Rattus norvegicus: one gene and its partners. The protein of the gene in region 5 purifies or fractionates together with the protein of the main gene of each other region. This does not show direct contact. Links are inferred from orthologs where the notes say so. Each region holds a gene or a part of one and is shown on either strand. Other genes may lie near its edges.

What was found.
Region 1: the proteins of Rnf7 (region 5) and Asb7 purify together in Homo sapiens (co-immunoprecipitation; 4 studies listed by BioGRID and IntAct, with this or other methods). This does not show direct contact. The link is inferred for Rattus norvegicus from reciprocal best matches to the Homo sapiens genes RNF7 and ASB7.
Region 2: the proteins of Rnf7 (region 5) and Asb1 purify together in Homo sapiens (co-immunoprecipitation; 3 studies listed by BioGRID and IntAct, with this or other methods). This does not show direct contact. The link is inferred for Rattus norvegicus from reciprocal best matches to the Homo sapiens genes RNF7 and ASB1.
Region 3: the proteins of Rnf7 (region 5) and Spsb2 purify together in Homo sapiens (co-immunoprecipitation; 3 studies listed by BioGRID and IntAct, with this or other methods). This does not show direct contact. The link is inferred for Rattus norvegicus from reciprocal best matches to the Homo sapiens genes RNF7 and SPSB2.
Region 4: the proteins of Rnf7 (region 5) and Asb6 purify together in Homo sapiens (co-immunoprecipitation; 4 studies listed by BioGRID and IntAct, counting the BioPlex papers as one, with this or other methods). This does not show direct contact. The link is inferred for Rattus norvegicus from reciprocal best matches to the Homo sapiens genes RNF7 and ASB6.
Region 6: the proteins of Rnf7 (region 5) and Tulp4 purify together in Homo sapiens (co-immunoprecipitation; 3 studies listed by BioGRID and IntAct, with this or other methods). This does not show direct contact. The link is inferred for Rattus norvegicus from reciprocal best matches to the Homo sapiens genes RNF7 and TULP4.
Region 7: the proteins of Rnf7 (region 5) and Rab40b purify together in Homo sapiens (affinity purification with mass spectrometry; 3 studies listed by BioGRID and IntAct, with this or other methods). This does not show direct contact. The link is inferred for Rattus norvegicus from reciprocal best matches to the Homo sapiens genes RNF7 and RAB40B.

What each region holds. Positions count from the first base shown.
Region 1 is NC_086019.1:129,674,706-129,678,933, forward strand, and holds the start of Asb7 (ankyrin repeat and SOCS box protein 7), read right to left. Parts: upstream 2,801-4,228; 5' UTR 2,356-2,800; intron 2,172-2,355; 5' UTR 2,074-2,171; intron 1,243-2,073; exon of another isoform or gene 1,153-1,242; intron 1-1,152. UniProt on the Homo sapiens protein: Probable substrate-recognition component of a SCF-like ECS (Elongin-Cullin-SOCS-box protein) E3 ubiquitin-protein ligase complex which mediates the ubiquitination and subsequent proteasomal degradation of target proteins.
Region 2 is NC_086027.1:99,566,441-99,570,700, reverse strand, and holds the start of Asb1 (ankyrin repeat and SOCS box protein 1), read right to left. Parts: upstream 2,801-4,260; 5' UTR 2,086-2,800; coding exon 2,037-2,085; coding exon of another isoform or gene 2,032-2,036; exon of another isoform or gene 1,790-2,031; coding exon of another isoform or gene 1,750-1,789; exon of another isoform or gene 1,414-1,749; coding exon of another isoform or gene 1,358-1,413; intron 1-1,357. UniProt on the Homo sapiens protein: Probable substrate-recognition component of a SCF-like ECS (Elongin-Cullin-SOCS-box protein) E3 ligase complex which mediates the ubiquitination and subsequent proteasomal degradation of target proteins.
Region 3 is NC_086022.1:159,298,497-159,302,068, reverse strand, and holds Spsb2 (SPRY domain-containing SOCS box protein 2), read right to left. Parts: upstream 2,196-3,572; 5' UTR 2,032-2,195; intron 1,838-2,031; 5' UTR 1,759-1,837; coding exon 1,095-1,758; coding exon of another isoform or gene 928-1,094; exon of another isoform or gene 849-927; coding exon 718-848; 3' UTR 501-717; downstream 1-500. UniProt on the Homo sapiens protein: Substrate recognition component of a SCF-like ECS (Elongin BC-CUL2/5-SOCS-box protein) E3 ubiquitin-protein ligase complex which mediates the ubiquitination and subsequent proteasomal degradation of target proteins.
Region 4 is NC_086021.1:34,510,234-34,514,488, reverse strand, and holds the start of Asb6 (ankyrin repeat and SOCS box protein 6), read left to right. Parts: upstream 1-1,455; 5' UTR 1,456-1,567; coding exon 1,568-1,680; exon of another isoform or gene 1,681-1,758; intron 1,759-2,690; coding exon 2,691-2,866; intron 2,867-3,639; coding exon 3,640-3,746; intron 3,747-3,836; coding exon 3,837-3,945; intron 3,946-4,255. UniProt on the Homo sapiens protein: Probable substrate-recognition component of a SCF-like ECS (Elongin-Cullin-SOCS-box protein) E3 ubiquitin-protein ligase complex which mediates the ubiquitination and subsequent proteasomal degradation of target proteins.
Region 5 is NC_086026.1:105,924,606-105,928,693, forward strand, and holds the start of Rnf7 (RING-box protein 2), read right to left. Parts: upstream 2,801-4,088; 5' UTR 2,758-2,800; coding exon 2,583-2,757; intron 1-2,582. UniProt on the Homo sapiens protein: Catalytic component of multiple cullin-5-RING E3 ubiquitin-protein ligase complexes (ECS complexes), which mediate the ubiquitination and subsequent proteasomal degradation of target proteins.
Region 6 is NC_086019.1:49,086,414-49,090,685, reverse strand, and holds the start of Tulp4 (tubby-related protein 4), read right to left. Parts: upstream 2,801-4,272; 5' UTR 2,672-2,800; intron 2,570-2,671; exon of another isoform or gene 1,998-2,569; intron 1-1,997. UniProt on the Homo sapiens protein: May be a substrate-recognition component of a SCF-like ECS (Elongin-Cullin-SOCS-box protein) E3 ubiquitin ligase complex which mediates the ubiquitination and subsequent proteasomal degradation of target proteins.
Region 7 is NC_086028.1:107,154,576-107,158,646, reverse strand, and holds the start of Rab40b (ras-related protein Rab-40B), read left to right. Parts: upstream 1-1,271; 5' UTR 1,272-1,381; coding exon 1,382-1,526; intron 1,527-4,071. UniProt on the Homo sapiens protein: RAB40B small GTPase acts as substrate-recognition components of the ECS(RAB40B) E3 ubiquitin ligase complex which mediates the ubiquitination of target proteins.

The DNA of each region.
Region 1 (4,228 bases), on a different chromosome or scaffold from region 5:
ACTTAAACGGCAACAATAACCTGGCTGGGAACCAAGACAGAGCAATGTTCTGTCTTTACAAGTCTGACTAGCGATCCTCATTTACAACCTCAGGTAAAAAGAGCCCTCACTTAGGAACACTAGCAAATTAGGTTCACTCTAAAGCAGAAAAATACTCTCTACCCCACCAAGAAGATACAAGATATATACTGCATTCTATCTCTGAAATACAATCCAAATATTTTATTACCAATTTTTAAAAAGTTATACAGTAACCAGAAGGCATCATATTGCTGAGTTCCATATTTAACCACTGAGTCACCTCTCTAGCCCTGAGTTCTGTATTTAAATAATAACAACCACTCTTCAACTTGAGATTTTGCCTTGATATATAAAATTATATATATATATATTTTTTTTCCTCCATAGTACTGTCACTGGTGAATATTAGGAGTTTTTTTCTTTTCTTTTCATTTTGTTTTTTAAAACTGTGTCTTCCTCTGTAGCCAGCCCAGGTTGGCTTCAAATTCTCCATCTTCCTGCCTCAGGGTCCCCATTCCTCAGGCTAGAAAGTATAGCAATTACATACAGTAAGGCATAGTGGCGCAGGCCTTTGATCCCAGCACTGAGGAGGCAGAGGCAGGCAGATCTGAGTTCAAGGCTATCCTGGTCTACAAAGAGTTTCTGTACACAGAGAAACCCTGTCTTAAAGCACCAGAAATTTAAAAAAGAAGAAGAAAGAAGAGCTAATACGTACTATTTTAAAGTTCCATTCATAGCATACTCCTTCTTTGGTGTGTAGTTTCAAGTCTTAAAAATGTGCAAGCCCTCAGAGCCCCTTAAAAATTATCTTTATGTCTTAAGGACCAGTAGAATCAAAGGGACTTGTGTGTGTATGTGTGTGTGTGTGTGTGTGTGTGTGTGTGTGTGTGTGTGTGTGTACAAACATGCAAAAGACAGGAAATATAAAGGAATAAAAAGCCTACCATTTTGAATATTCTTTGTACTAAAGTTCCAAAAACCATTTGAGATACTAAAATAAATTAGTAACATTTTATGTGATAACAAACGTTATAGATTTGCCCGTTAGGCAGTCTCTCGGTTGTCCTTTATAATCTCTCCCTCTCGTTTATTTGTATACATGTTCTCTTCATATTAATGTTCTAAACTTACCTTTAGGGCATTTTCGGAGGCAGCAACAAAATAGGCAGCAGAAATCTGAGCACATGACCTAGGTGCTTACATTTCAATCTAGTAAATTCTCTGTAAGGGTTTTAAAATGAGAAAACAAGAATGACCACTGCCAAAAACCAAGCAGCAGATAGCTAAACATACCCAAGCAATACTTTGTTCTAAAATTCCTGACTGTGCCACTATTGTCAAGGCGATACATTGTACATTTTTATAAGTTCACCTAGAACACCAGAGACATAGCAAATACTATGTATCACTTTATAACAACTCCAGTGTCCATCCATTTTGTCACAAACACACACACACAAAACCCCATAGGAAACTATATACTTTGTTTCAGGGGCTAATATTGCTTTTATACAGTTTCTGCACTGTTCCCAGTCACTTTTTCCAGGAAAACCAAACCCAATTAGTTTCAGTCCTCCAGTTCACCTTCTGCTACTAAGCCATTATCAGTTAGGTAACTCTTGAAGCTTTCCTGATGGAGGAATAGAGAAAAAAAAAATGTACATGGACATACCAGTAAATTGTGGTTTAATTAAAAGCAGCATCATTCAGAATTAACAAGCAATTAACATGGAATTGAAGAATTCCTATGAGAGTAAGGAAGGCAAGGAACTACAAAAAGGTCTCCAAGCCTCAGAGCAGAGTAAGTGACACAGTATACCAAAAGATAATGCAAAACACGGAAACACTCTGACCGGGTTCCAGAAGACATTTCTGGAGTACGGAAGTTATTGAGGTGTTAAGGATCAGGCACGGGCAATGCTTCTGTTTTTGCTAGGAAACTAGGATCTAAGAAAGCTTACATTCCCAGGCAACCACCCTGAAAATAAAGCATTACTTAATGAGGTAGGGGCCAGGAGTAAACAATGGGGGAAGGGAGGTCTGGCTCTTTACCTTTGGAGAGGATGCTTGTCCAAAGCACTCTGCTTATTGCTCCTCTGGTGGGTGGCCAGACCCCTTCTGCTCGGGAGTGTCTTCCAACCAGCTCAAACCTGGAAAACAGAAACCAATCAGTGGTGCAGTGATCCAGGATTGAGGAGAGGGCTCTGAGGATGGGGGAGCTAAGAAAGGGCTGGAGGGAAGCAAGGGCAGGCAGGCTGGAGCAGGGCTTCTCCCCCCAACCCCCACCCACCCCGCCAGCCCCTTCCCCTCGAAGGAGGAAGAAACTGACTTTACCTGTGTCCTCAGCTGCAGCTCCTCTCTCTCCTTTCAGCCTCCTCCACATTCACCAACTTCTCCATTGAAGAAACACCCCAGGCAGGGCCGGACACCGTGTTCCTGATCCTCCTCAGTGCTTCACGGCCCCAGCCCGGTGAGCATCCAGATAGTCGATCAGGCTGGGGGTGGCGGTCTTGGCCTCGGAGCAGCCTCCGGGAAGGGGTGCTGGGAGGAAGTGCCGGCTCGGAGGGGTGGGGGGGCAGTCCCGGTCCAGGGGCTCAGACCAAGGGTCTGCTGCGCGCCGGGCCGGAGGCTTTCAGCTACCGAGGGACTCAAGAGGTCTGGGGACAGAGAGACACCAATCGTACCAGGTCCGAAGTGTCAGCAGCGGGGTGTCCCGACAGGGGGCTTTCGGGATGCACTTTGCACTGGGCCACCCCCGCCCCCTCCTTCCAGCACTTTGGGGTCACTGGGATGGGACCAAGCCTTCGACAACCAATCAGCTGCCGCACTGGAGCCTGCGCTCCAAGCCGTAAACCAGATCCGCGGTGGGTGGGGGTTGGGGTAGGGGGTGGGGGCGACTTGGTTGGTTGGTTGCTTCCTTCTCCTCACCCAGGGGCCCCCACCCCCTGGCTGTCGTAAAGCTGCCCGCGGATTCGCGACAGTTAGAGGAGGCGGGCTGGTAGAGGCTAGGACTCGTCTCCGATTGGTCGCTCTCACTTCGTCCCTCCGCTTCCCCGCGGCGGTTTTCGAGGCTCCACCCCCAGCCTGGAGACTCGAAGCGGTTGCTAAGAGACACTGTACTACGAGTGGGGCTTCTACGCCTGCTGAGGGAGGGGCCGGAGAGGCCTTCCGTGGAGTACGGTGGCCCGGAGTGGGCAGCTATGGGTGCGAGTGGCCGGGCGATGGCTGAGTGGCCGGGCCGGATGGCAGCCAGGTAACCCTGAGCCCAGGTTGAGCTGGGTAGCTGGAGAGACGTGTGGGTGGCAGGTTGAGCAGTGGGCAAAGCGACAGGGCCGAGGGCAGGCGAGGAGGGCCCCTACTGGCCGCTGCTCCTTGGCGCTTCTTGGAAGCGTGTGGTGCATCTGTCGGTCTCTGAGACCCGGTTAGCCTCCAGGCTGTCTGCGCCTCGCCCAACTTGCGAGAGAGCACGCTCTTTGGGATCGCCAGGCGGGTTCTAGGGCTTTCCTGCCAGGATAGCGACCCTCGCGGTTTCTTGTGAATGAAAAGAACCGGGAAAAATGCAAAAACACTGATACATTGTTTAAATTGTTTAAATACATTGATTATTTTAGCAAGTGTTTGCTGGGTTGACACTACTCTAGTTGTTGGAGAGACTTTGTGAACTTTTTTTTGTTTTTGCTTTTATCATAACAAGAGAAGATGAAACTGCAAAATGATTAGGGGAGAAAAACACAAAGTAATGGAATACGGTTTGTCTAGGATGTAGTGGACTCTTAGATTGTTAGCGAGGTCTGTCAGAGAATGACATTTGCACACTGTGAATGACAAAAAACTAGCCCAACAAAGATCTGAGGGAAGACCTTACACAGAGTTAGTCAGAAGTGACTTTTCCACAGGTGTCACCTCTTATGTGGACAACATAAGTTCACTAATTCCTAGGAAAAGTCAGTCAGGAATGGGGGTGTGGGACCAAAATTGAAATATCTTGAAGATGATATAGTTTTGTCAGGGACCACTGGGCCAAGCTGTCTAGTGCTGAATATATACAATGTTTCTAGGGGCTAGTAAATTCCCAGTAAAAAGGTAAAAGTAGACGAAAAAGAACTGAGTTGATTTCATTAGAAAAGAGGTTAGTGAAAGCCTGGGTATCTTCTAATTGCAGAGTGTTTAGGGGCCTCAGAGAAAGCATAATTATTAGCTTGTGGGT
Region 2 (4,260 bases), on a different chromosome or scaffold from region 5:
TTGTAGATATACATAAGGGAAATAGCTTTTGTTGTTTTAGTAAGAATAACAGGTGGCAGGAACTCTACCATACTAGATAACAAAACTCGTACCAGACTAGAAAGAAAACAAAAACAAAAACAAAAACAAAAACAAAATTGTTTTCTCAAAAAAACAATTGAGAAAAGAATCAATTCTCCAGGAAAATCTTAATCTTAGTATACATAGCTTAGCTGTAGCAAACAGGCACAGAATCCACCTAAGACATGTAGTCTGTGGAGAGTTGTACAACTAACCACCTACTCGGAGACCTTGCATCTTTGCTCACATCACAGCCCAAACTAACTGAAAAGGTTAAACATTGCACCAATAGGTGCTATAAAGACAGCACAAATTCTAACTGCTTAGATTCAAGTCCCCCACCCTGTAGTGATGTCCTAGCATGCTACCAAGCATAGCTCAAAAGCATATCCCTTCACACACAGGTCTTTTCTTGATGCTGAAGTTGTTTCATATTCGAATACAATATCCTTTGCGCCCCCACAGACTCTCCTAGAGGTACACGGTGGTGATGATTAAGTATCCTTGCCCTCCAGGTTCTGAAAGTCCGTTGCCTGGGCTAAGACCAAGGCTAGAGGCAGCACAATGTCCACAAACACCTATGTGGTTCACTTGATCCCATAACCAGATGCACAGCAGACCAACAAGATGCATCAAGCCTGGAAAGGGCTCTGTCCAGCGCTTCCAGGTCCTCCTTCAATTACTGTAACCACAGCGCAGTTACCAACAGGTATAAAAGTCAAAGCCAAAGTTGGGGAAGATTCAGATGCATGGGGTAACTGTCAGGAAAGTGGGCTGCATCAGAGGACTTGAGCAAGTCTCTGGACCTCCCTTTGGTCACCTCTCCTCTATGCTCCCAGCCCAGGCCGCCAATGGACCTTCAGAATCTCCCCAAGTCCTAGAGTCAAAGGCCATACCTACAAGATAGCACTCAAGACCCGCGCCTCCACCCAAGCTGGAAACACAAACCAACAAAAAGGCACTAAAAGGACCAGGGCGGGCGGGTGTGTGTAAAACCACTTTTTCTTCCACAGGACCCTTTCATGTGTTAAGAAATAGCTGTCCTTTAATCAACCACTTCTCTTCCACCTCTCATTCCTGAATGAAAGGTCAATCCACTCTAAGATCTTGTCTGTTCCTGAGATCAAATTCAATGCCAAACATAGCTCTTGGTGGTAGAGGCCTTGTCTTGTTTTTTCACAGCCCCAGGTGAGCCAAGCCAATAAATAATACATCATCAACAAATGTTCGTTGAATTGATGGACGGAAGAATGACAAAAGACTGTCAACATTGTGGCTTTCTGAGATTTTTGCATACCTAGGAGAGCTCCTTGAACAGAACATGTGCTTCTCCAAAACCAGAGATGGGCACATGTGGCAGGTTCAGAAAGACCCCAAGGTGGATCTTGTACCAGGAAATTCTCCCAGGAATTGTTAGTTCCATAGAAGCAACACGGCAAAGTGGAGATTCTTTAAGTCAGGTGACAAGTGTCACCCTTTCGCTGCAGGTGGATCAAGCGCCCCTGTAAGAGCTGTGTCACTGGCAAGCTCTCTGGGGACAGCATTGTCCTTAAGGTGGGTGGGGGTGGGGCGGAGGACGTTTGTCCAGTGGCTACCGAGCGGGTATGTGCTGACTGGCAGGATGGGGAAAGGGAACCTGTCCGACGAAGGCTGACCTCTGAGGGCCTTTACTGACCACTGTGCTCATACCTGGAAGAAAATCCGTACCCCATGGCAGAGCTAGGGTCATCGCAGACTGGGATCGGCTAACAGGGTGGCGGTTACAAGGCTAGCTCCACCAGAAAGAAACCCCGTAGGAGGGCTGTCCACGAGAGACCAAGGGTGGGGGTGCGCGCCTGGGGTCGCGCGAAGCCTGACGTACACATTTATTGACCCTGGCCCGCGAGGACGGAAGCCCGAGCCCGGGACGCCCGAGGGCCACTCTGACTGACCGGAGACGCAATACCTTCCCCACCATCCCTAGCCGCGTACGTTACCTGCGGGCCCTGGGCCGGCCCGCCCATCGGGGCTCCCGCCCTCCGCCATGCCTACTTGGTCCTCAGCCTCCGCCCAGACCCCGTCGCCTGTCCGCCTCCTCAGCGAGCCTGTCAAAGAGCAACCCTGTCAGAGAAACACCTCCGGCGTTTCCGGCAGGTGGGCGTGTCTGGAGCTCGGCTTCCGCCGAGTATGCGCCTCCCTTCTGTACTTCCTGCTCTGCGCGCAGGGTGCAGGGGCCTCCACTTCCGGTCTGGCTAATAGACTTGATTGCTAATCAGGGAAGGTTGACAAAACTGCGTCTACTAGGAAGCGCCGGGATTTGGGGAAACGCCTCTCCTCTATAGGTGGAGGCGTCTTCGAATGCCTCAGGAACTCCTGGTTGGTAGATTTTGTCCCCGCCCACGGAGGCCGGGACGTGGGCGGGGCCGGTCCGGCAGCGGCTGAGGGTAGTGGAGTGACGTTGGCCTACGCTGCTGTCCTTTCTTCGAGAATCCAAACGGCGCCTTCCAAGTAACTTGTAAAGTTGTGTTAGGTGAAGGCAGCCCAGAATGTCTCCATGGAGCCAACAGTGTTTGTAACTTGGCCAAGGCGTGTTGTCCTGGTGGCTTTCCCCCCGAGCACTCCCGATTTTACATCAGTCACACTGTGCGCATTGCTTTTTCGAACAGTTCTTAAGCATGGACGCTTTCGGGTCCTTTCATTCTCCCCTACACGGCTTAGGGAAGGTACCTTGCAGGGGGAGGACCCCAGTGGACTGGGGAGGCTGCGCCTTAAGGAGACAGAAGCGCTGCTTCACCGTCCGGTGAGGCGGAGGCGAGGCCGCAGTCCCCAGCACCGTGGCTGTGACTTGTCTGCATCTTTGTGTGGTCATGGCACACCAGCTGGGAGCTAGCGACTATAGGTGCCCAGCAAATCCTCCTGCCCAGATTAGATCAGTTGCACAGGTCTGGGGAGTTGTGTGAGACAATCTGGAACAGAGCCACGGGCTCTGAGGGTGTTTATTGGAAAGCGGGGAGATTCCTGCAGTGGTGTTTGGTCTTGATACCAAACACCACTGGCATGCGGGACAGGTGACACCAATGACGCTGCAAGGCAAAGAGCCAGAGGTGGCCCAACCTTATGGCTCTGCTCCATCCCAAACTGGGATGCCACAAGTGTAAAACCACCCAGATGTGCATGATCAGATAAATACACCTCAAAATGCGTTGCCGTGGTTATCCACATAGCCTTTAAAAGACCACTGTCCTAGGTTACAGCAGGGCCAATCCTGGAGGACCCTATGCTCAGTGAATTAAGCCCACAATAAAGAATAAAGACTGCATGATTCTAAAGGAGGTCACTAAAGGAGTCAACTTTGTAGAAACAGAGTGGAATTAGTAGGTGCCAGTTTGCTGCCAGAAAAGGGAGTGTCACTGGTGAGGGAACAGAGATAAAACTCCATGCTGTCACCCTAGACTGAGAACTTCATTGTGACCAAAACTCAGGCCTAACGAGACTCATGGTTTTGACTCAGAAAAAAAAGAAAAAGAAAAACTGTTAAGACTAATGGAAACAATGTTGAGGTTTTATTTAAAATAGTTTAACATTAGACTCTGACCACAAGACTTAGAAGAAAGGAACTAAGAAAGGCATGCCCAAGAATAGCTCCACAACCCTTATGGAGCTACCATATACACCATTTTGATGGTTCTCAACTTAGATCTCAAAAGGGGTGTGTGTGTGTGTGTGTGTGTGTGTGTGTGTGTATGAGATTATGGGGTGGCTTCAGACATACCTTGGATGGAATTATAATCTGACAAAATAAAGCTAGGAGCCACTGGCTGCATGAGCCTTGTACGTGTCCTTTTCCTGTAAAAGTTTCTAGTAAGAGTCCTGGAAAATTGCAGGTGTGGAAGTGTGGAAGGAAGAAGGCTTTGAGCAGTTAATCGTGCTGGGATCCCCGTTTCTCTGTTGGCAAGTGACTTCAACCAAGTTCCTGGGTAAAGGGCTCCTCTTTCTCCTCACATCTCCATAATTTCCTTTTCTATCCTATCTCAGAAGAAATAGGAAGTGAGTACTTTTTCAAAGTTTTTTTGGGGGAGGTGAGGGGATGGTGCAAATAGAGACAGGATCTTATTTATGTAGCCCTTGGCTGGCCCGGGGCTCATATGTAAGTGAGTCTCGACTTAGCGCATTGAGGTCCACCTGCCTTTGCTTCCCAGGTGCTGGGAAAGTACACCACCA
Region 3 (3,572 bases), on a different chromosome or scaffold from region 5:
GGACCAGGCCAATCCCTTTACCACTTACAATGGGTAAAATCAAATATGTCACCAAGATGGCTTCCTGAGGAGGGGAAGGAGTAGAACTAGCTGTCCCTTTGGGCCCTAATGGGTGAAAACGGCCTTCCATTGGTTTGGGATGGAAACTCACAGCTGGACCACAGGAAGTAGGCTTCTTGTCACTTTGGCCTGTCACTTAGATGGCCTTGGCTCTAGCTTCACTCCCAAGCCCTACTGGATGTGTGATGCAGAGATTCAGAGTCTTCGGGTCTGAATTTCAGTGTACATTAAGGCCAAGATCCTTTTACTCTTAGAGGCCTGGGATATCCCCTCCCTGTAGTGCCGAAGCCCTTGTATTGTGTTTGTGAACCATCCTACATATAAGGGAAATAAACACCTGGGCCTAAACATGGTTTGTCATAATTTTAAGACAGTGAGGGGGCTCTAGCCTCGAGGGGGGGGGGCAAGTGGAATGTAAAAAGAACCAATAATGAAACACGTTCTGTGACAATATATCTCATTTTTTTTTTACTTCAAAAACCTTTTGTCCAAAGCTGCCACAGCCTATAGTATCATTTCTATGTCTTGTTCCTGTGAAAAGGGGTAGTGAAGGGGTCCAGCCTCCTTCCCTCAGCTCCAGCTTTTAAGTTGTCTAGGCCAGCAGTGCCTCTCCACCTGTCCCCACGGTAGGGTGCCAGCACACCCTGTGCCACAGGGTCATTTGTAGAGTAGATAGCGTTTCATGGCAGGGGGCAATGGCAGACTGGATATTTGACCCAGCCGGGTGTCCCCCAGAGCATGGCGCACACACAGGCGGCTCAGGTGCAGAAGGGATTGTGGTTCCTCCGCTGAGACAGAGAAGGAAGACAGGGTAAGCAAGCAACTCCCGCCAGACATCCTCAAACTCTCTCTCCACCTCCACCCTAGCTAAGGGAGACCCAAAAGCTCTGAATTTCTGGAAGTGAAGCTAGAGCCAAGGCCACCTAAGTGACTTGAAGCCCATTTCCTGTGGTCCGACCACGAGTTTCCACCCCAACCCATTGTCAAAAGTGGTATCCTCCCTGCCCCCCACACACACCTAGTCCAGATCTCACCTCTTCTTTCGCCCAGGTAGCGGATGCGGACCTGGCACTGTCCCCAAACAGCACTTACAGAGGGATAAAGGGTCCTCCCCTTCAGTCCACGGAAGGCTGGTCCCAGGTACGTGCCCCCAATAGAGTAGCCCAGAGTTCCCTCCTCCATGTCCAGAACCACCAACAGTCTCTCTGGCACCACTAGCTGCTCACCCTGAGGTCCGGCTGGGTACTGGGGGGCCTCAAGGCCCTTACTCTGATGATACAATTTTCCCCTCCCAATATCCCAGCCCCAGGACTCGCTGTTGCTGCCCAAAAGCGCCGCGTAGTGGTCAGCCTGCAGCGGGGCGAGGGCGGTGGCCACGCCCACCACGGCGTGTGTTCCCCTTTGCTCCAGGGGCCAGCTGATCTCCCAGGCATGCAGGCCTCTCGAATAGCCCCTCTTTCCCCGGACTCCATCAGTGCTCTGGGCCACAGGGCGCCGCTCAAAGCACAGTCCCCCTTCCTTGACATCGATGTTCTCGGAGCAATCCTTGGGGTTCCAGCCGTGGTGTCGTTGGGCCCCTAGGTCAGGAGGGGGTGCGGACAGGAGCTCCTCCAAGCCCTCGGGAGGAGATAAGTCAGAGTACAGAGCGTGCGAGCTAGGGGTGCTGCTGCTGCCCCTTGCCAGGGCCGTCTGGCCCATGAGGTGAGCAGCTGAAGAACTTCTCAAAACAGGCTTGTTGGGGCGTCTGTCTTTTGAAAGTTGAGCTCCGGATCGTCCCCTGGAGTGGCGTGGAGAAAGAAAGGACTGTTAGGCGTAGCATCTTTCCCTGAGGCTCCCATCCGTTCACCGGTGTATGCGAACCAGCCTCATCTTCCCTTGGTCCCCCAACCCGCCCAGGCCCATCACTTTCACCCCATCTGCGTCGCGCCTTTCCCCCCAAGTTTTTCACGACTTTTCTCCCTCAGACCTTACCGTGGACCGTCCCCTTGAGGTCTCTAAGGCCCGGCCCCTATCCCGCACCTCACTGGGCTCCCCCTACCCCTCAGAGACCTCAGTGGAAGCACAGATAGGGAAGGGTGGAAGCGCCCCTGACCAGCAACCGCTTCCGGCTCCAGCGGGGCCGTAGGACGCCCGCCTGCGCTCCGCCCCTGGGCTCTGGAGACGATTAACCCTATCGTCACCTCCCGGACCACGCCCGCCACATCATTTCCCGTCCTGGGAACCCACCGTCTGCAAAGAATTCAGGCAAGGAGTGTGTGATGACTTCAAATGTGGACAAGCGCTCATGTTTTGTGGGGCACACTCTGGGTGGGTAATCTCTTGTCCCTCCCAGGACTCCCAGCAGTTTATTTTTCCGAAGCCACCTGACAGCTGCGTGCCCCGCCCTCCCCCCATCCCAGCCTAGAATTAACCCTTTGATGACGTCATCGCCTTGGATTCTGCGTGTGTGGAGACTTCTCCACTGGAGACCTTTGCGCTGCCTGAGCAAGTCGATCCTGAGATTAGGAAAAGGCCTTCACACCCTTCCTGACCTACTGCTCCCGTTTAGGAGAACGTAGGGATTGAGATTGTTCCCTGCCTGTCTCCCTATGTGGCTGAAGCGGTAACCATTCATCCTCCTGCTTCAGCCTCCTGAGTAATGGGACTACTAGTGGGCACGTTGTCTAGAGGATGTGTGCTTTGAGGGTTAGTTCTGAGTGAAGTTAGACTACTATCTGCGTTATCATGGAGAGATTGTCATTGAAGTTTGACCTCCTTGGATGTCTATTGATAACAGTTTAAAAATCACATAATGCTACCAGTAAGTTAAATGTGTGTGTGTGTGTGTGTGTGTGTGTGTGTGTGTGTGTGTGTGTGTGAGAGAGAGAGAGAGAGAGAGAGAGAGAGAGAGAGAGAGAGAGAGAGGTGGGGAGAGCAGAGAGGGCCTAGAACTCCCTCTGTAGACTAGGTTGAACTCACACTGATCAGCCTGCCTCTGCCTCCTGAGTGTTGGCATTAAAGGTGTGTACCCTGTGCCCAGCCTAATTTTAACGTTGTTGCTGTAGTTATTGTTGTTTGGATGGGTTTCAAATGGTTTCTTGTAGCCCATCTAGGACAGAAGTGGCTCTGTAGGCAAGAGCTGGCCTTGAATTCCTGTTCCTCTTAGCTCTACTTTCAAATGCTAGGATTATAAAGGTATGAGTCACACCCAGCTAATTTTAACGTTTTAAAACTCTGATGCGAGCCTGCTGCAATGGCTCGGCAGTAAGAGCACAGGCTGCTCTTGTGGAGGCCCCAGTTCAGGTTCTCACAGCCACATTGAAGCTCACAGACGTCCGTGAGTTCCAGTCCCAGGGGTGTTAACGATTTCTTCGGAACTCCACACGAATGTGATGGCACGGATACACTGTGCTGCCTAGTCTTGCGTCAACTTGACCCACAAACTAGAGTTCTTAGAGCTGCCTGAAAGGAAGGAACCTTAATTGAGAAAATGCCACCATAAGATCTGGCTGTAAGGCATTTTCTTGGTGGGG
Region 4 (4,255 bases), on a different chromosome or scaffold from region 5:
GCCTACATGGACGGCTGTGTACCACTTTTGTGCCTAATGCCCACAGAGTCCAGAAGAGGGCGACAGAGCCCCGTGGATTGAACCTGGGCTGCGCCATCTCTCCGGAAACCCGCCACCCTCCATCCCACTCCTTCCCTTTGGGAGATAGGGCCTCCCTACGTAGTCCTGACTGGCTAAGAACAGGACCTAGGTCCTTTCCAGAGCAGCCAGTGTTCTTAATTGCTGGGCATCTCTCCAGCCCCTTCTACAGATTTTTCCCCATTATTCCCTAAACAATTACCAACTTGATATTTACTCTGTTGGGTGCAGAGACATCTAGAACTGATATAGAGGAGCTGTGTAACCATTCCATGTAAGATCCTTGAATGCCCACTGGGTTTGGTGTCCTGGGCATCCCAGAACCAAGCTTGTGATCTCAACACTTGAGAAGTGGCGGCAGGAAGCTCAGGAGTACAATGGCAGCCAGCCTCAGCTATTCTGAGAGTTCAAGGCCAGCCCAAGCTATATGAGATCCTGTCTTTATTTTTTTAATATTATTTATTACATATAAGTACACCGTCAGTCTCTTCAGACACACCAGAAGAGGGCATCAGATCTCATTACAGATGGTTGTGAGCCACCATGTGGTTGCTGGGATTTGAACTCAGGACCTCTGGAAGAGTGGTCGGTGCTCTTAACCACTGAGCCATCTCTCCAGCCCCAGATCCTGTCTTTAAAACAAACAAGAAACTTTGTTCCGTGCCAGTAACTCTGTGGCAGATGGCAGGTGCCAAGCAGAGAGACCACAAGCCCCCACAAAGGATTGGAGCCATGGCTATGATGATGCAGCCTCAGGACCACTGACACCTACCCATAACTGGCCTTTCTAGAATCATCAGGGCCTTGCTGCAGGACTCAAAGTCGCAGCCACTCAAATTTGTGTAGGGGGAAGCTACCTGGTACAATTCTTTCTGTTGCGTCTCTGCTGCCTTCCCACTCAGGGTCTAGGGAAGTGATATTATGCCAATTTTACAGACCAGGACAGGAAGGGTCACCGAGTTCCTCCAGGAAAAGCGGGAAAAGTGGGCACCCTGTTTAGCCAGGGGGTGAAGGGACAGAGAATAATGAATTGTCCCCAGTATTTGTGGGGAAGAGTTAGGGTGCAAGGTCCTCATTGCGCCATTCAGTTCAGAGTAGAGAGACTTCCTTAGGAAGTGGCCAAAATCAAATAGGCTGCAGAAAGCAGTGTCCGGGCTCCGAACTGGGCCTATGTCACCTCGGGCAGGAGCAGGTCAGTAGCGGGGCCACACTCCCCCTTGGAGCTTGGACGCCCTGCAGCGGCCTCGCGGGGAATTTCAGGGCGGGGCGGAGCCGGGGCAGTGATGATAGTCGCGAGGTCCTCCCCGGCGGTAGGGGGCACTGTAATGCACATGAGCCCTCACAGGCCCTCAGGACAGGAAGTAGGGGTGGTAGGATAACTTCCGGTGCGGAACTGAGGCCTGGGAGGACGACTGCTCACCGGCGCGGGGTCTGAACCGGTAGATCGGGAGGTGGTGGCGAGTGGGTATCCGGACGCGCGGCCGACGCCATGCCGTTCCTGCACGGCTTCCGCAGGATCATCTTCGAGTACCAGCCCCTGGTGGACGCCATCCTGGGTGCCCTGGGCATCCAGGATCTGGAGCGGCAGGAGCCTCTGGATGAGTGAGTCGCTGCGGTCCCCTGTGGTTGTCGCGGCGGGAGCGGGAGCTGCGTGGCTGCGAGCTCGAGCGCCAGCCTGAGGTGGGCTCGCAGCGTCTTGCAGGGCAGAGGGCCAGGGCCCCGGAGCCGCTCCCTGTGCATGGATGCCGGAGGAGAGGTCCTGGCTGGGACCGACAGCGCTTTTTGCAGACAGCAGGCCTCTTCGAGAGTCTCTGGGGGAAGCAAGCCGGTGTGGTCCGTGTGCCCTGTGCAGACTTCCTTGGGTACTAGGAGCGCTACGCCTTCGGAGTGCTTGTGCCACCGAGACAGACCAGCACCCAGACCAGCACCGTGGGGTGGGATGCAGGGAGTAGGGCGGGGCAAAGGAATAGCACTGGGAGAGTCATGAGCCGGAATTGCAGACTTTCAGTCTCAACAAGGATGTCTTTTCTAAACCACACTAGCTCGCTCTTCTGCGGCCTACTCTGTAAATGTAGTGCCAGGCGGTTTCCAGAACTCGGAGGCGGGGCAGCAGGGCTGCACAAGGCGCTACTGCCCTCCCTTGGCGGAAACTAGCATATTCAAGAAGGCCGCCCTAGATAAGCGTTTGGTCAGATCTTGGATCCCACCTGTTGCAAGAGAAGAGGTCTGGTGGGTGAGATTAGGGAGAAGAGCAACTGAGGAGCATTGGGACAGGAAGGTGACTCTGAAGGTGGTGTCTGAGCCATTGTCCAGAGCTGGGGCAATGTATGGAGTAGTGTCCAGGCCCAAGTAGCACTTAGTAGGTAGTTTTGTCTAGGAAGGGTGAGAGCTTTAGGGCCACCCTCGTGGTGGTATGAGAGAGGACGGGACAGAGCCAGGCCTTTGACAGCAAGCTGAAGGATGGCTTTGAAGTCACTTCACACATTTGACCAAGAAAGAGTTGTGTCCCACAGAGCATGGGCAGTTTGTGTGGGTGATTGTGGAAGGGCACACAGGCTAGGGCCACTGGTCCCCAGGAGTTCCCACTTGGTCTTTTCTGCCTCTTGGTGCAGTTACGCTTCCAGTGAGGAGAGCCGGATCCTGGTCCTTACGGAGCTGCTGGAGCAGAAGGCCCACTCTCCTTTCTACCAGGAAGGTGTGAGCAATGCTCTGCTGAAGATGGCCGAGCTGGGCCTGACCCGGGCAGCTGCGGTCCTCCTGCAGAGTGGGGCCAACCTCAACTTTGAAGGTCAGCAGCGGCCTGAGAATGGGGGTGGGGGCGAGCAGGGCTAGGCAGTCAGCCCTGGCCTCTGCTTCCCCTCTTGTCTTTGGGGTGACTTCCCATGTTCTTTTCCTTTGGGTGGCTTTCTGGGGGCTCTTAGCACCTCTCCTCCCACATCTTCCAGATTAATCCTTCTGCTGTGGAGAAAGTACACTGGCAGTGCCCAGAGCTAAGGGAAGGTGATTTTCTCTGAGCTGTCCTGCAGGTGTTGCTCTGGTCCTAGGGGTGGGGAGATAAGCCACACTAGGCATCAGTGACGGCAGGCTGCCTAGGTTCTTTAAGCGTCAGGTCAGGGATGATGAAGTGTCAGCCACCTGCCTTGTCTCTGGCTGTCACCCCAGGAGGTAGGAGACAGGTGGGGCTGCCAGTGCTGACCCACACGCATGCTTTTGTGTCTTTCATTGGAGAACATGCTCAGAGGATGTAGGAAACTTGGGATCCTGCAAACTACAGATGGGGGGGGGGCTGGGGGAGGGTGTTCCAAAGCCCATCCACATGGTCAAATGGCCTGGCTGTGAGACACATTTGGAAGGCTGAGGCAGAGGGATCTCTGGTGACCTTGAGCCCAAACCAGGTCAAGGCTACCGGGGCTGGCCATGCTGCTGAGCTTGAGCACTTTGCGTTCTCCTCAGGACAGTCCTGAGGAAACTTCATCTTCACACCTGAGGTGGGGGTGCCAGGGAGAGTCTCTGAGGCTAGGTCCTTCGAGAACAGACTAACCCGAACTTCCTTGCCTTCAGACCCTGTCACCTACTACACAGCCCTGCACATTGCTGTCCTGAGAAACCAGCCTGACATGGTGGAGCTGCTGGTGCGCCACGGGGCTGATATCAACAGGAGGGACCGGGTAAGGGTCAGCTCCAATCTTGGGCATGATTAGTAGGTTCACCAGCGAAAGCCACCCCAGGCAACATGGCTGCTATCCCCTTTGGTTCAGATCCACGAGAGCAGCCCCTTGGATCTGGCCAGTGAGGAACCTGAACGCCTGCCCTGCCTGCAGCGCCTCTTGGATCTTGGAGCAGATGTCAACGCAGCAGACAAGAATGGTAAGAGATGGCTCAGAGGTTAAGAGCACTGGCTGTTCTTCCAGAGGTCCTGAGTTCAAGTCCCAGCATCCACACATGGCAGATCACAACTGTCTTTAACCGTGTTTCCAGGAGATCTGATGATCTCATCTGGTACAGACATACCTCATGTAGGCAAAGCACTCATACGTAAAGTAAGAAGAGTGCTGTGGTGGGAGGCTGGCCGTCCCAGGGACTGGGTACCTGATAAAAGTTCGGGAAGGACAGGCAGGTGTCTGGGTGCTGGCCCCAGTAGGTGGCATAGCCACAGCTGGCACCCAGGCAGAGGGTG
Region 5 (4,088 bases):
TAAAATGTTTCTAAGTCTCTTTTTAAGTCTTTTTCCCCCTTTTGTTTTATCTTGCCTGGCCTGGATTTTCTACAGACAAGGCTGCTCTTGAATTAACATGCTGAGATGCTCTTGCCTCTGTCTCAAGTTAGAGATTTGCCACACTTTGATCAAAGAAATAGTTCTGTGAATGATGTTCCTAATCTGAGACAGTATTTCTACAGCATACAACAATAACCTTTCAAACAATGCCAGGGATCAGGACTACCAAGTCTTAATTTAATTCCCTGTGGTCACCTGACCACTGAGTGGCACTAAGCTCTCACAGCCCACGAACATGACCAGGAGTTATCTATAACCCAAACTTGGGCCTACGTTAAGCACCTGTCTGTGCTGTAACATTTCATTGGTTACTTTAGGATCTACATCTCTTACTATTTAGATTTGTGGAAAAAATAGCCCTTCCAAGGAAAAAAATCCTTTTAAAACTTCCCTTTGGGTGCTCGCTTCGGCAGCACATATACTAAAACTTCCCTTTGGAAAGATTCATCCTAAACTAAGAAAGAGCTAAAAGAAAGTCTCTCTTGGGCTGGAGAGATAGCTCAATGATCAAGAGCACTGACTGTTCTTCCAGAGGTCCGGAGTTCAATTCTCAGCAACCACATGGTGGCTCACAACCATCTGTAATGGGATCTGATGCGCTCTTTTGGTGTGTCTGAAGACAGCTACTGTGTACTTATAGATAATAAATCTTTCTTCTTCTTCTTCTTTTTTTAAAAAAGTCTCTCTTTTTAAATTAAAGATATTTAAGGTTTATTCATTATTTATTTGTTTGTAAGATAGGGTCCCCCTACTTAGCCTCAGCTGTGTCGACCAGGCTGGCCTCTAACACAGAGATCTGCTTATCTTTGCCTGAGTGCTGAGATGAAAGATACCATTACACCTGGTAGGAATAAAATTTCTAAGCAAAGCTTGTGTTGAAAAAGAACAAAAGTAATGCCCCTGCCTCAGCCTCCTGAGTGCCGGTATTTGCCGGTATTTCAGACATGAGTCACCACACTCAACTCTGAAATGGAAATTATGGCCCAGTTCCTAAGCAAGGGAGAAGGGTGGAACAGCTGTATTTTAGTGTTTTAGTCAAATCGGATATTTAGAAACTAGTGTTTACACAGTAAACAAGTAAAGTTTGGAACCGTGTTGAAAACTTCCTGAAAAGCGAGTACAAAGACTTCAGAATCTCTTGATTGCACATTTGCAAACTACAGAAATCTATTTCAATCAACACCCCCATCACCTTGTAAAGCATTCTCACAGTAATCTAAAATTACGTTTATGCTACCTGCATCTGTGTTTGCATACCAAATGTGCCTAATGCCCTCAAGGGTCATAACGGGGTGCTGGAGTTATTGGAACAGGAGTTAGAGGGTGATGAGCTGCCAGGTGGGTGTGGAACATCAAACTGTGGTTGTGGTGCTCCTAACTGTGGAAACATCTCTCCAGTCCCTCCCTGGCTTTGGTTTTGTTCGAGCCTGACCTCAAATGCACTGCTGTCCCTCCAGCTTCAGTCTTCAGAGTGTTGTTATTACAGGTACAACCAACACACTGGAAGACAGGCTGGTTATGCAGCTCAGTTGGTAGTGTACCGAGATGAAGCTCAAACCCCAGCATGCCTTAGGCCTGCTGGTTCATTTCTGTAAATTGTAGCACTTGGGAGGAGGACGCATCAGGAGACACCCTGGCTACACAAGATAGACCCTTTCTAAAAAAGAGGAAGAGTCTGGCAATGGTGGCACACACTTTTAAACCCAGCACTAAGGAGACAAAGGCAGGTGCATCCCAGCCTGGTCTACAGAGTTCCAGAATAGCCAGGGCTACACAAATAAACCCTGTCTGGAAAAAAAAGACAGAGACAGGGTTCTTTTCAAGGTGGACTGAGCTCTTAACTGTGCAAAACTCAACTAGATTGTCTTGATACGTTTCATTTTGGTCTGATATTTTCGTTCAAAATACTAAAACAGACGACTATGAAAGGAAGTTCTTCGAAAAGGCACAAAATAGCAGGGTAGTGTTTTCTCTACGAAATGGTGTCTTAGGATGGGAAGGGTGCAAGATGAAGTTTCTGAATCAAGCAAACCTTGGCCCTCGCTTCAACACAGGAAAGTTCTGATCCGTCTTGTCAAAATAAAATTTAAAAGCCAGCCAAGTAGCACCACCGAATGCATCCGGAAGCAAACAGACTGAGCATCATTTCGGTTATGACAGAATCCAGATAGTGGCGTAGGCTCGCAATTTCCAGAATTTGGGAGGTGCAGGCAGGAGCCTCAAGGGTTCAAAGTCAACCTCGGATAAATAGGCAAGCTCTAATCCAGCCTGAGGAACGTGAGAGCATCTCAAAAACATTAAACATCCCAACCCTCAGATCCACGAGAGGGATCCGCTGTGGGATTTGCTGGCCGCTAGGCTGCCCAGGAAAACCCCGAGGTTCCTCTCCCGGAACCCGGTCACGCCCACTTCCTGCAGGAACTATCCGGTGTCTGGAGGCCCGGTCCAGCATTCGCCGGCCAGGCCCGCCCAGCGGTCCCGACTTCGCGTGCATCGCTTACCCATCACCTGGACCCTGCAGATGGCGCAGGTATCGCACTCAACGTCCCAGCTCCACATGGCTACCGCGTTCCACTTCTTGAGGGAGAACATCTTGTCGCCTCCCGACTTGGAGCCTGCGCTCCCAGAATGCGAGGAAAGGACGCAGGGTTCCTCGCCGTCCTCCACGTCGGCCATGGCGGCGGCGCAGAACGGCTACGCGGACGTTGGGCGCGGAGGCGGGGAGGTATGGTGGCTCAGCAGGGTCACAACACAAGCCACAGACCCTCCTCAAGGAACAGTCGCTCAGCCGGAGCCAGGCGAGGCTGATTGGCTGGCGCGGGACAGTGACGTCATGAGGGGCTGGGCGAGGCCTGTACAAGCTCTTGTAGTGGACACAGGCCAGTTACTGCATGACAGGCAAGGAACAGTGAGCGAGCAGTCTGGAGTCCTATTGTATTAAACTCGGAGCTTTCAAAAAATCACCTTGTCCCTGCCTCCATTTGTCTCTTTTTTTCCCAAATGTGCACTATCTGAGTAGGGACAGAAATCTCTTTACTGTAACCTCTGTATCTTACAAAATGGCTGCTTGGTACAAAATGGTTGGCCTTGAATTCAGAGATTTTTTTTTTTAATATTTTAACTTTATTTTATGTGCATTGCTGTGAGGTGTCAGATTCCTTGGAACTGGAATTACAGACAGTTGTAATCTGTTATGTGGGTGCTGGGAACTGAACCCTGATCTTTGAGAAAAACAGACTGTTCTCTTAACCACTGAGCGGTCTCTCCAGACATTACATCTTGGGTTTCTTTAAGCTTAAAATGTATTAGGACCTTAACCTTTTTTGTTGTTATTTTTCGTTTTGTTTTGTTTTTGGTTTGGTTTTTTGAGGCAGGATTTCCTTGTGGAACCTTGGCTGTTCTGAAATTAGCTCTGGTCTCAGCCTGGCCTACCCCATGCCCGTGCCTCCCCAGTGGCGAGATTAAAGGTATGCGCCACCACACTCTGCTTCTGGTTGTGGTTCTGAGACGGGTTCTCACTGTGTAGCCCCAACTGGCTTAGAACTCATTATGTAGACTAGGCTGGCTTTGGATCACAGAGGTCTGCCTGCCTCTGCTTCTGGAGTGCTCTGATTCAAGGTGTGCACCAACCTAGGCCTGGCTTTTAGGATCTGCGAAGGCTCAACTCTCGTCAACCGCCATTCTTCAGGTTGTTTTTATCACCTGGGAAAGGTGGTGGAAACCCTCTTGCAGCCACTCCTGCTGCTAAAATTCCCACTGAAGAAAGATTTACACGACGACTCCAGTTAAGCCAATTAGAAGTATGTGAGGCAGTGGGGCCATGGTGGTGTACACCTTACTCCCAGCACTTGGGAGACAGCGGCAGGTGGATCTTTGTCACGTTTCAGGCAACCAAAGCTACACAGAGAAGCCTTGTCTTCAAAACCAAAACCAAAACCAGCCAAACAAAAAATACATAAGTCCCTTTATTAGTGCATGACCAAGTTCCGGCTCATGCCTCAGAGTCT
Region 6 (4,272 bases), on a different chromosome or scaffold from region 5:
GTATTCCAGCTTTTATTTATATATACTTTAACATAAAATATTTAAATTATGCTAAAATTTACTAACTAAATTAACATTACCCCAGCCAAACTAAAAGAAATCTGACATTGTGATCTCAGATTCTATGCATTTCTAACAGCCTCGGTGCAAGCAAATAGTCTTGGGACAGTGAGGAGACCTCATAGATGCTAAACAGGAAGGCATGCAGTATCTGTACCACAGCATTCCATCCTGAGGTTTTAAACTGTGCTTTGCCAATACATGCCCAACCAGTCACTCCCACTGTCTTCACCTTTGCCCTCCACAGGGAACAGGAGAAATATGAATGCTACGAATGTGGTCTAAGGCATGAAGCCACTGATTACCACCTACCTTACCCAAGTTCACAGGAGCCATCCCATACCTTCCTGAATGCAACCTGTAGCACACTCGGAAAAAAGTCTTTGGTTCTATAAACCATCAGAGCAAGCTGAAATCTGGATGCAGAAAGGTTGCAGTCTCCACTATCCATGACTTAGGACCTCAACATCAACAGTGGATGGCTCAATTTAAAACTCTCTTCACAAGAATAGTAATACATTTTTTAAAACCCTCTCTTCACGAGGCTATAAAGAGGGTGAACATATCAAGAGCACCTCTGCTCTTGCGGGGGACCTGGGTTTGGTTCCAAGCATGTGTCACCCTTTTCTGTCCTCAGACAGAACATACATAGGCTCAGGCACAAACACATAAAATACAGCTAGAAAGAAAAAGAGAGGAGTATGAAAGGAAGCAAAGAAGGAAACACTCATCCTAAAATAAATAAGCTGGTTTCATCCATCACCCATCCTTTTAAGGGTTAAAATTCCATTTGAAGCTTTAGTGGAGGAAAAAAAGTTATGAATAACCAAATTCAATTCTTACGTCTCCCTGTGAAAACCATAAAGTCCAGTATGATCCACATTCATCGTTTCTAAGTTACTTAGGATACATGCAGTAAATAGACCGCTAGTCCTCAGAACAAGTGGTAAGGCTGGCTTTCCACTCACCCTCTATGCCTGAACCCTCCACAAGCATTAAAAATATTTTCCCTTAAGTGACTTCCTGTAACTCAGCACAGCATATATCCAAGTCAGGAAAGCAACACCTCCCCCATCGCTGAAAACACTGTTGCTTCCACAGAGCTCTTCGATGTTTTCAAGAAATGTTCATTGTCTAGTGAGTCTGTCATCACACAAATGGCTATTTGATTAAGAAAGTAAAGACGAGACTTGGCTATTCGTAATGTGCTCATACAATCATTTCTCCAGCAGATCACAAGAAAGGACACATGTGACTCTCCCTTTTGTAACGTGGCTGTCACTATACAGCTCCCAGCTGCCCACCTGAAGGCTAGGAGTCTCCCTGTGGGTCTTTTGCCACGGCTATGTGCATGGGCCCAGGCATTTCACATCAATCCCAAATTGGAACTCTCCAGGAATATGGCACAATCCCTCTGGGTTTCCTGCAAGAACTAAACTCCCACCAAGGAGTGGTGACTCCAGATATTAAAACAAAACAAAAACAAAACAAACAAAAGAACCCACAGGCTAAAAATAAGAGAATCTCAGGATGGTTTTTACATTCCTCTAAACCTTAGGAACAACTGCCCCTCCTAAAACCTGCTACAAAAAACGTAAGGAAATACCCTTAAGATGCTCTACCAGTGTAAAATAAAGAGGTGGGCCTGGCTTTCTCTGTACTAGGCCAGCCCAGTCTACACAGTGAGTCCCAGGCCAGCCAGGACTAAAAGACCCCATCTAAATAAAAGAATTTTTTTTAAAAAAAACAGAGTCCCCAAGTAAAGAAACCCTGAAAACAGTTCCCTCCCCAAGGGAAAACGATTATCCCCAGAGGGAGTAGAGTGACATGGGAAGGTTGGCAGGTAGAAGGAACAGGTCCCTAAGTGACATGAATCTTACTGACGACTGTCAACCCCTCCACATCCAATTCAAGCCACAAAGCTAGATGGCTCTCACCTTCCCAAGCAAGCGGTGCCTCTGAAAGAAAGAAGTGGACACCTCCTTGCTAATTGTCCCCAAACGGTGAAACTTCACATCAGCATCAGGAGCTGGGTTAAGAGAGTGCAGAGCAAAAGAGGAAGGGTTGGTTCTGGGAGCGGAATCTCCGTGATTTGCCAGAGGAAACCGCACAGGCTCCAGACAGCAAAAGCGCCGGGATTTCCATGCAGCTGCTACGACAGGTGACCGGGCTGCTTTGCAGACACCCCGCTCACCCGCTGGCTGGCCCCGCTTGGCTGAAGGTGGGAAGAGCAGGAAAGAGAAAAAGGAAAGAGAGCCGCCCCGGGACCCGGAGGCCGACAGAGCAAACGAGGGACTGTGGGGAGGCCGGGCCGGCGCAGCCCGTCTCCCCGGGAAAACCGGTGGAAGGGATTTTTCTGTCTGCACAATTAAGGAGAAGGGGGGAAAAAAAACATGGCTCCGAGCCAAACGCCTTCTGATTTACACACGCACGCCCGAGCTCCTCGGTCGGCCCAGTTCCTCGCACGCCGGAACAAAAGGCGAACGAGCTAGCTAGGCGCCGGCCGCCCGAGCTAAGGGTCCGCTGAGGAGCCCCGCGCCCGCCGCCCCTGCCGTGCCCACTGCCCGGCCCCCGCCGCCCGGGCCCTCGCGGCCGCCCATCCCAGCCTCACCTCCTTAGCGGCCGTGGCGGCGGCCCGGTGCCTCTCCGCCTCCGCCTCCGGCAGCCCTCGGCGCCGCCGCCGCCGCCGCCGCCGCCGCCGCCACCTCCCCCCCACCCCCCGCGTCTCGGCCGAGACTCCGCCTCTCTCGGCCGCCGCCGCGACCGCCAGTCGGGCTAGGGGAGCACGTGACCGCGCCACGTGACCCGGCGCCTCCCCGGTCGGACCCGCGGCGGGTGGCGCTGCCCGGTGCGCGCGCGCGCGCGGGCCCGGGAGCGGGGTGCGGTCTCGAGCCTCCCACGCGCCGCTCGACTCCCCAGACTCTAGCACCTCCCGCGTCGCCCGCCTCCGCCTGGGCGCCCAGCCTGGACCACTCACCTCCTCCAGAGTCCTCACGCCCGATCTTGTCAGCGGGGGCCGGAAGTGGACATCACGCCTTCTCCTACCCAGACAGAGCCGCTGCAGAGCACACAGCGACTCGTACTATGAGCAACGTGGCTCCCCTGGAAACAGTCATTCAAGTGTCTTCGGCGGTGCTGCTGCTGTCACGTCAGTACCCCCTCCAGTTGCTTTCAGGGAGAAACGAATCCATAGCGTCATTTTAAGTCACACAGGCACAGTCTCAGCCTTTAGCGCCCCCCCCCCCCAACACACACGGTTAAATTGATGTGCTAAGAACGGAAACTTCAGCCATCCCTCGGTTTTCCACTGTTACAAAGAAGGCGTTGCTGGGTGTAGAGAATGCGTGGTTGAAATTTAAAAATAGACAAGATCGCATCTTTCCTTGAGGCAAGGCTAAGAACAGTAGACACTCTTCCCAACTGTTAGGCACTGTTTCCTATTTCTGAGCATCGGCAAACGTTAAAACCATTTTACGGTTTTGTGTGTGTTCATTTGTTACAGACAGGGTCTTCTCTATGTAGTGTAGGCTGGTCTCAAACTCAATTCTCCTGCCTCATGAATGCTGGGATTTCAAACCATGCCTAGCCAGTTCCTGTTTTAAAATTATCCCACCGCTAATTCTATCAGAAGTCTGAGTAAGAGTCCATCGGGTTCTACAACTCTGTGCTTGAGATTTTACGAGTGCTAACAAATGTTTTGGTTTCTGGTTTTGAGCCTAGGTCTCACTATGTAGCTTGGAACTCCGTGTAGACCAGGTTGGCCTGGAACTCACCGAGAGCCACCTGCCTGAATAGCATGGTGTTCTTTCAATTGTAATCACTCTTCTACCAACACTGTATTTTTAATTTTACTATCTTTTGCCTTCTATGCCTCACCCGACTCCTTATCCCTTAAAGATCTATTCTCTTTCGTGACACTTTCAGAAGGTGGGTCTCACTCAATCTGTTAGGTCAGCTGTGAATCTGCATTTTGTATTTTAGAAACCTTTCTAATTATGGAATGAAGAGAGTTGCCTCCTATTTAGAAATCTGGGGCAACTGGGAGCCCTTAAAAGGAAGATTTGGCAACAGGACCCTTCTTCTGGCTGCTGAAATCCCACTGGCCCAGTATTTTTCATTTTCTTATGTTTAAAATGCTTTTTTAATATTAGTGGGAGAAACAAACATTTATTTAAAGATTTATTTATTTTATGTATACCAGTCCACCATAGC
Region 7 (4,071 bases), on a different chromosome or scaffold from region 5:
GCAGATAGAACTTGAGACCAGCCTAGTCTACAAAGCCAGTTCCAGGACAGCAAGGGCTACTCAGAAAAATCCTGTCTGGAAAAACCCTATCTCAATTACCCATTCTAAACTGGCAACCGTATCTTGTAATTAGGGCTTATTATCATCAACTCTTTTTGAAAGGATAATGGTCCTTCTGGGAGGCAGCAGTCACCTTGTTCTGAGATCAACCTGTTCTGAGCCAAACCAGCCATGTCTGAATCACAGCACAGCCAAGACTCTTAGAACAATGTTCACAAATGCTTTTATAATTTCCTTCCACTGTTTTTCTTTCTTTCTTTCTTTCTTTCTTTCTTTCTTTCTTTCTTTCTTTCTTTCTTTCTTTTCTTTTTCGGAGCTCGGGACCGAACCCAGGCCTTGCGCTTGCTAGGCAAGCGCTCTACCACTGAGCTAAATCCCCAACCCCGCTTTTTCTTTTCTATACAGAAATATATGCTTCTTAACAGAGAGGAGGGTACCAGTGTAAGAGGTGCTTCCACTTCAGATTGCAAAAAGATGTAGGTAGCAGAGATGCTAAACTACAATTTATCTAAATAACTTAGTTCCTACTGGTGAGATGCTCCTGAGCAGAGAGAAGGCCTTGTTGATGGTCCACTGCTTCACCGCGGGAAAAAGACCAAAGACAGGTAGGCCCCTATCATGTGCTCTCTGCCGACAAACACGCAGGCACATGATGCACACACACTGACATGTATGGACAAAAACCCGTAGAGACCTCGAGGCGCCCACTAGCAGACACCTTTAGAGGTGCACTTATCCATGTGTCCACTTGGTGCTGAAACTCACAACTGCCTGTAACTTTAGTTACATCCGATGGCTACATGGATACACGCACATGTAACCTAAGGTCTCACACTAGCATTCGGAGCTCTGTGTAGCTGCTCTTGTATGCTCTTGTAACCAGGCAGGGACTCAAACACTTCCCACACCAATCTGGAGCCAGCTCCTGTTATGCACTAATACAGGGGAGGGAGTAAACACTAGCCACGCCCCTCATCGCCATGCCTGTCTTCTATTGGTTGCAGAAGCAGACCTCTCCCGCCTTCTGTTTCTTCTGGCTCGGCCTTAGGACCTCCATTGGCTTAGGCAACAAGTCCTCCCAAGAGTGGCGGTGGGCGTGGTGCGGAGGCGTTAAGAAATAGATGGGCGAGCTTGCTAACCAATGAGCATGTGTATACACCTCAGCAACTGAGATTCGCCAATGGCGAGGTAAGGTGGGCGGGGCTCTGCAGCTGTCAAGCGCCCCCGGCCGGTGGGGCGTTCGAGGGACCCGCGGCGCTCGGGGACCCTCCGCCGCCTGCGCGCAGCCTGGGGCCGGCATGGGCGGGGTGGCTGGGCCGGCATGATGAGCTCCTTGGGCAGCCCGGTGCGGGCCTACGATTTTTTACTTAAGTTCCTGTTGGTGGGCGACAGCGACGTGGGCAAGGGAGAGATCCTGGCCAGCTTGCAGGACGGAGCAGCCGAATCTCCTTACGGCCACCCGGCGGGTGAGCGCGGCTATAGCACCCGGAGTTGCAGCGCTGGGGTGTCGGTGCGAGCGGCCTTTCCAGCGTGGGTTTAGTCTCCAGAGCGGCTGGGTAGAGCTAGGTCCCGCATGCTGGGGAAGACTGCGCTCTGTGGGCGGAGTCCGCAAAGCGGCTCAGGGTGGGCGTTAAGGGAGATCGCAGGTGCGAGCGACGTGTTTGGGAGAAGTGCGTGGGATTACGGGAGGCGTGGGCAGAGAGGCAGCGGACCATGGAGCAGAGGAGACAACAGTCTCGGAGGCTATAACCTTTGGTGCGTGGGACTGCAAGCAGAGAGTAGAAAGACTAGACTCCAGCCTTTGATTCCAAGCACCAAGCTCTGTGTCCTAATGGACAGGACTTCCAGGAGGAGGAGTCTAAGTGACCCTGTAGAGTTGGCTAGGGTGTAGGAAGGAACCCAGTTAAAAGGCTAGAGTCCAGGAGACTGGACACAGGTGAGACCAAAGTGTCTCAGGCTCCAGGGCAGCGAGCTGTGTGTGTCCTAGAAGCTTGAGGTTTGAGACCTTGCACCCCAGAGGAAGGAGACAGAGTGGCAGAATCCTGAGCATAACATCCAAGAATAGTCACGTAGTGATCCAACCCTCAGACTGTGGCTGTGTACAGACTTCTATGACTCCCTATTGTGTCATTTGTGGGGGTTTCAACCCACCTTTCTAATACAGACCCTGTCCAGATGCCTGCCACCCTCTGTTCTCCGGACTTAAAGACTGCTTCCTGCATCTCCAGTCCCCTGGCAATGCCACAAGGTCTAGCAAGGGCCTAAAACTGTGTGGTCCAATGCCAGTAACTGCCAGCCTGGACAGCACAGATTTAGACCTTTCCTTTAGGGTGTAGCTCTGTTGGACAAGAGAGCAAGGGCGTGTACACAGTCGTGTCTCCAGGTCCCGGTGCTCAATGACGCTCGGGCTTCAGCAGAGGCAAAAGAGTAAAATGTTTAACAAGCTCCAAAAGGGGAGGTGAGTCTCACAGTAGATGACTGATGTGGGCAGAGAGAAAGGTGTTAATGACGTGTGAACAGACTTGCTACTGATTGGCTTGAGCAAGGCCACTGCACTTCTGTTGCTTTCCTATGTATTCTGTTGTCAACATGGTGTAAGAGATCGCAGGGGACTGATGCCGTACTTGTGGCCTTTGATTTACTACCTATTTCTTCAAGGGCTAAGAAAAGACCATGAGAAGAGCAGGCCAGGTATGGGTCTCACACCTGTAAACATGGCATTCGAGAAGCAGAGGGGGGAAAATTGCTGTGAGGTTGAGGCTAGCCTGGGCTACAATATAAGACCCTGTCTGGGGAAAACAAAACCGAATGGAAGGGAGTAAAATAGGGAGGAGAGATAAAGAGCAGGAAAATAAACAAGTAGAGGAGAGACAAACATTAAGAAGCTTGGGTCATCATTTGTGACGTGTCACGGGGAGGGTCTCTCCGTGCTCTGGTAGTGAGGTGTTCACAGCTTCATGCTCCACTCTCTTCATCCATGTCCGGGTTTTGTAACCCACTTTGCAATTTCCATACTGCAGAGGTTCGAAACACTAATTCTGTTTTGTAGATATTAGATCAGTGCTCTGTACTCCTGCAGTATTTAAATGAATTCAGCGCTAGCTAACTCTTTTTTTTTTTTTTTTTTTTTTTTGGTTCTTTTTTTCAGAGCTGGGGACCGAACCCAGGGCCTTGCGCTTCCTAGGCAAGCGCTCTACCACTGAGCTAAATCCCCAACCCCTGGCTAACTCTTTTAACTATAGCTACTCCTGAGTTCCTTACAATGCTGCTTCACCTTTCAATTTAAAAACCTTTTCAAGTTGCTTGCTCTGAAAACACATTGTCTTCGGCTGCACACAGTGTTCTTAGACTATACTGCTCTTTTCCCCTCAATACCTGGTAACTCGTTCACTGTCTTTCTGGTATCTTATGTTGTCATGGTGAAAACATCATGTCATCTGACTTTCTAAATGGGCGATTTGCCTTTTCTTTAGGAATCTTTTGAAGACTGTTTTTCCTTGCCTTACCTTGCTCAATCAGGCCATGACTCAAAAATTTTGATATATATTCTGAATTCCTAGATAAAAGAATACTTTCTTAGTTTTGAGGAATTTGCTTTAGGTCCACAAAATATCTCCCATTGCTTTGTGTTAATTTCTCATTTCTGTTACGAAAAATGACTGCAAACTGGCTTAAAACAACAGAAATTTACTCTTTACACGAAAAATGACTGCAAACTGGCTTAAAACAACAGAAATTTACTCTTTACACGGTTTGGTGTAAGTAGGACCTCATTTCTACATGGAACTCTAGGAAAGCACCTTCTTGTCTTTTCCAACCTTCAGAACCTCCCTGCACTCCAGGGTTCTTGGCCCCTTTCTTTGTCTTCAGAGACATTGGTAGCCAGTGATCTTTCTCAGGTCCCTTCTCTCTAGCATGAGCTCTCTTACCTCCTTTTTTTTTTTTTTTCCACTTCAGAGGACACAGTGATAATTTTTGTCCACATCAACAATCTGGGACAGTATCTCCTTT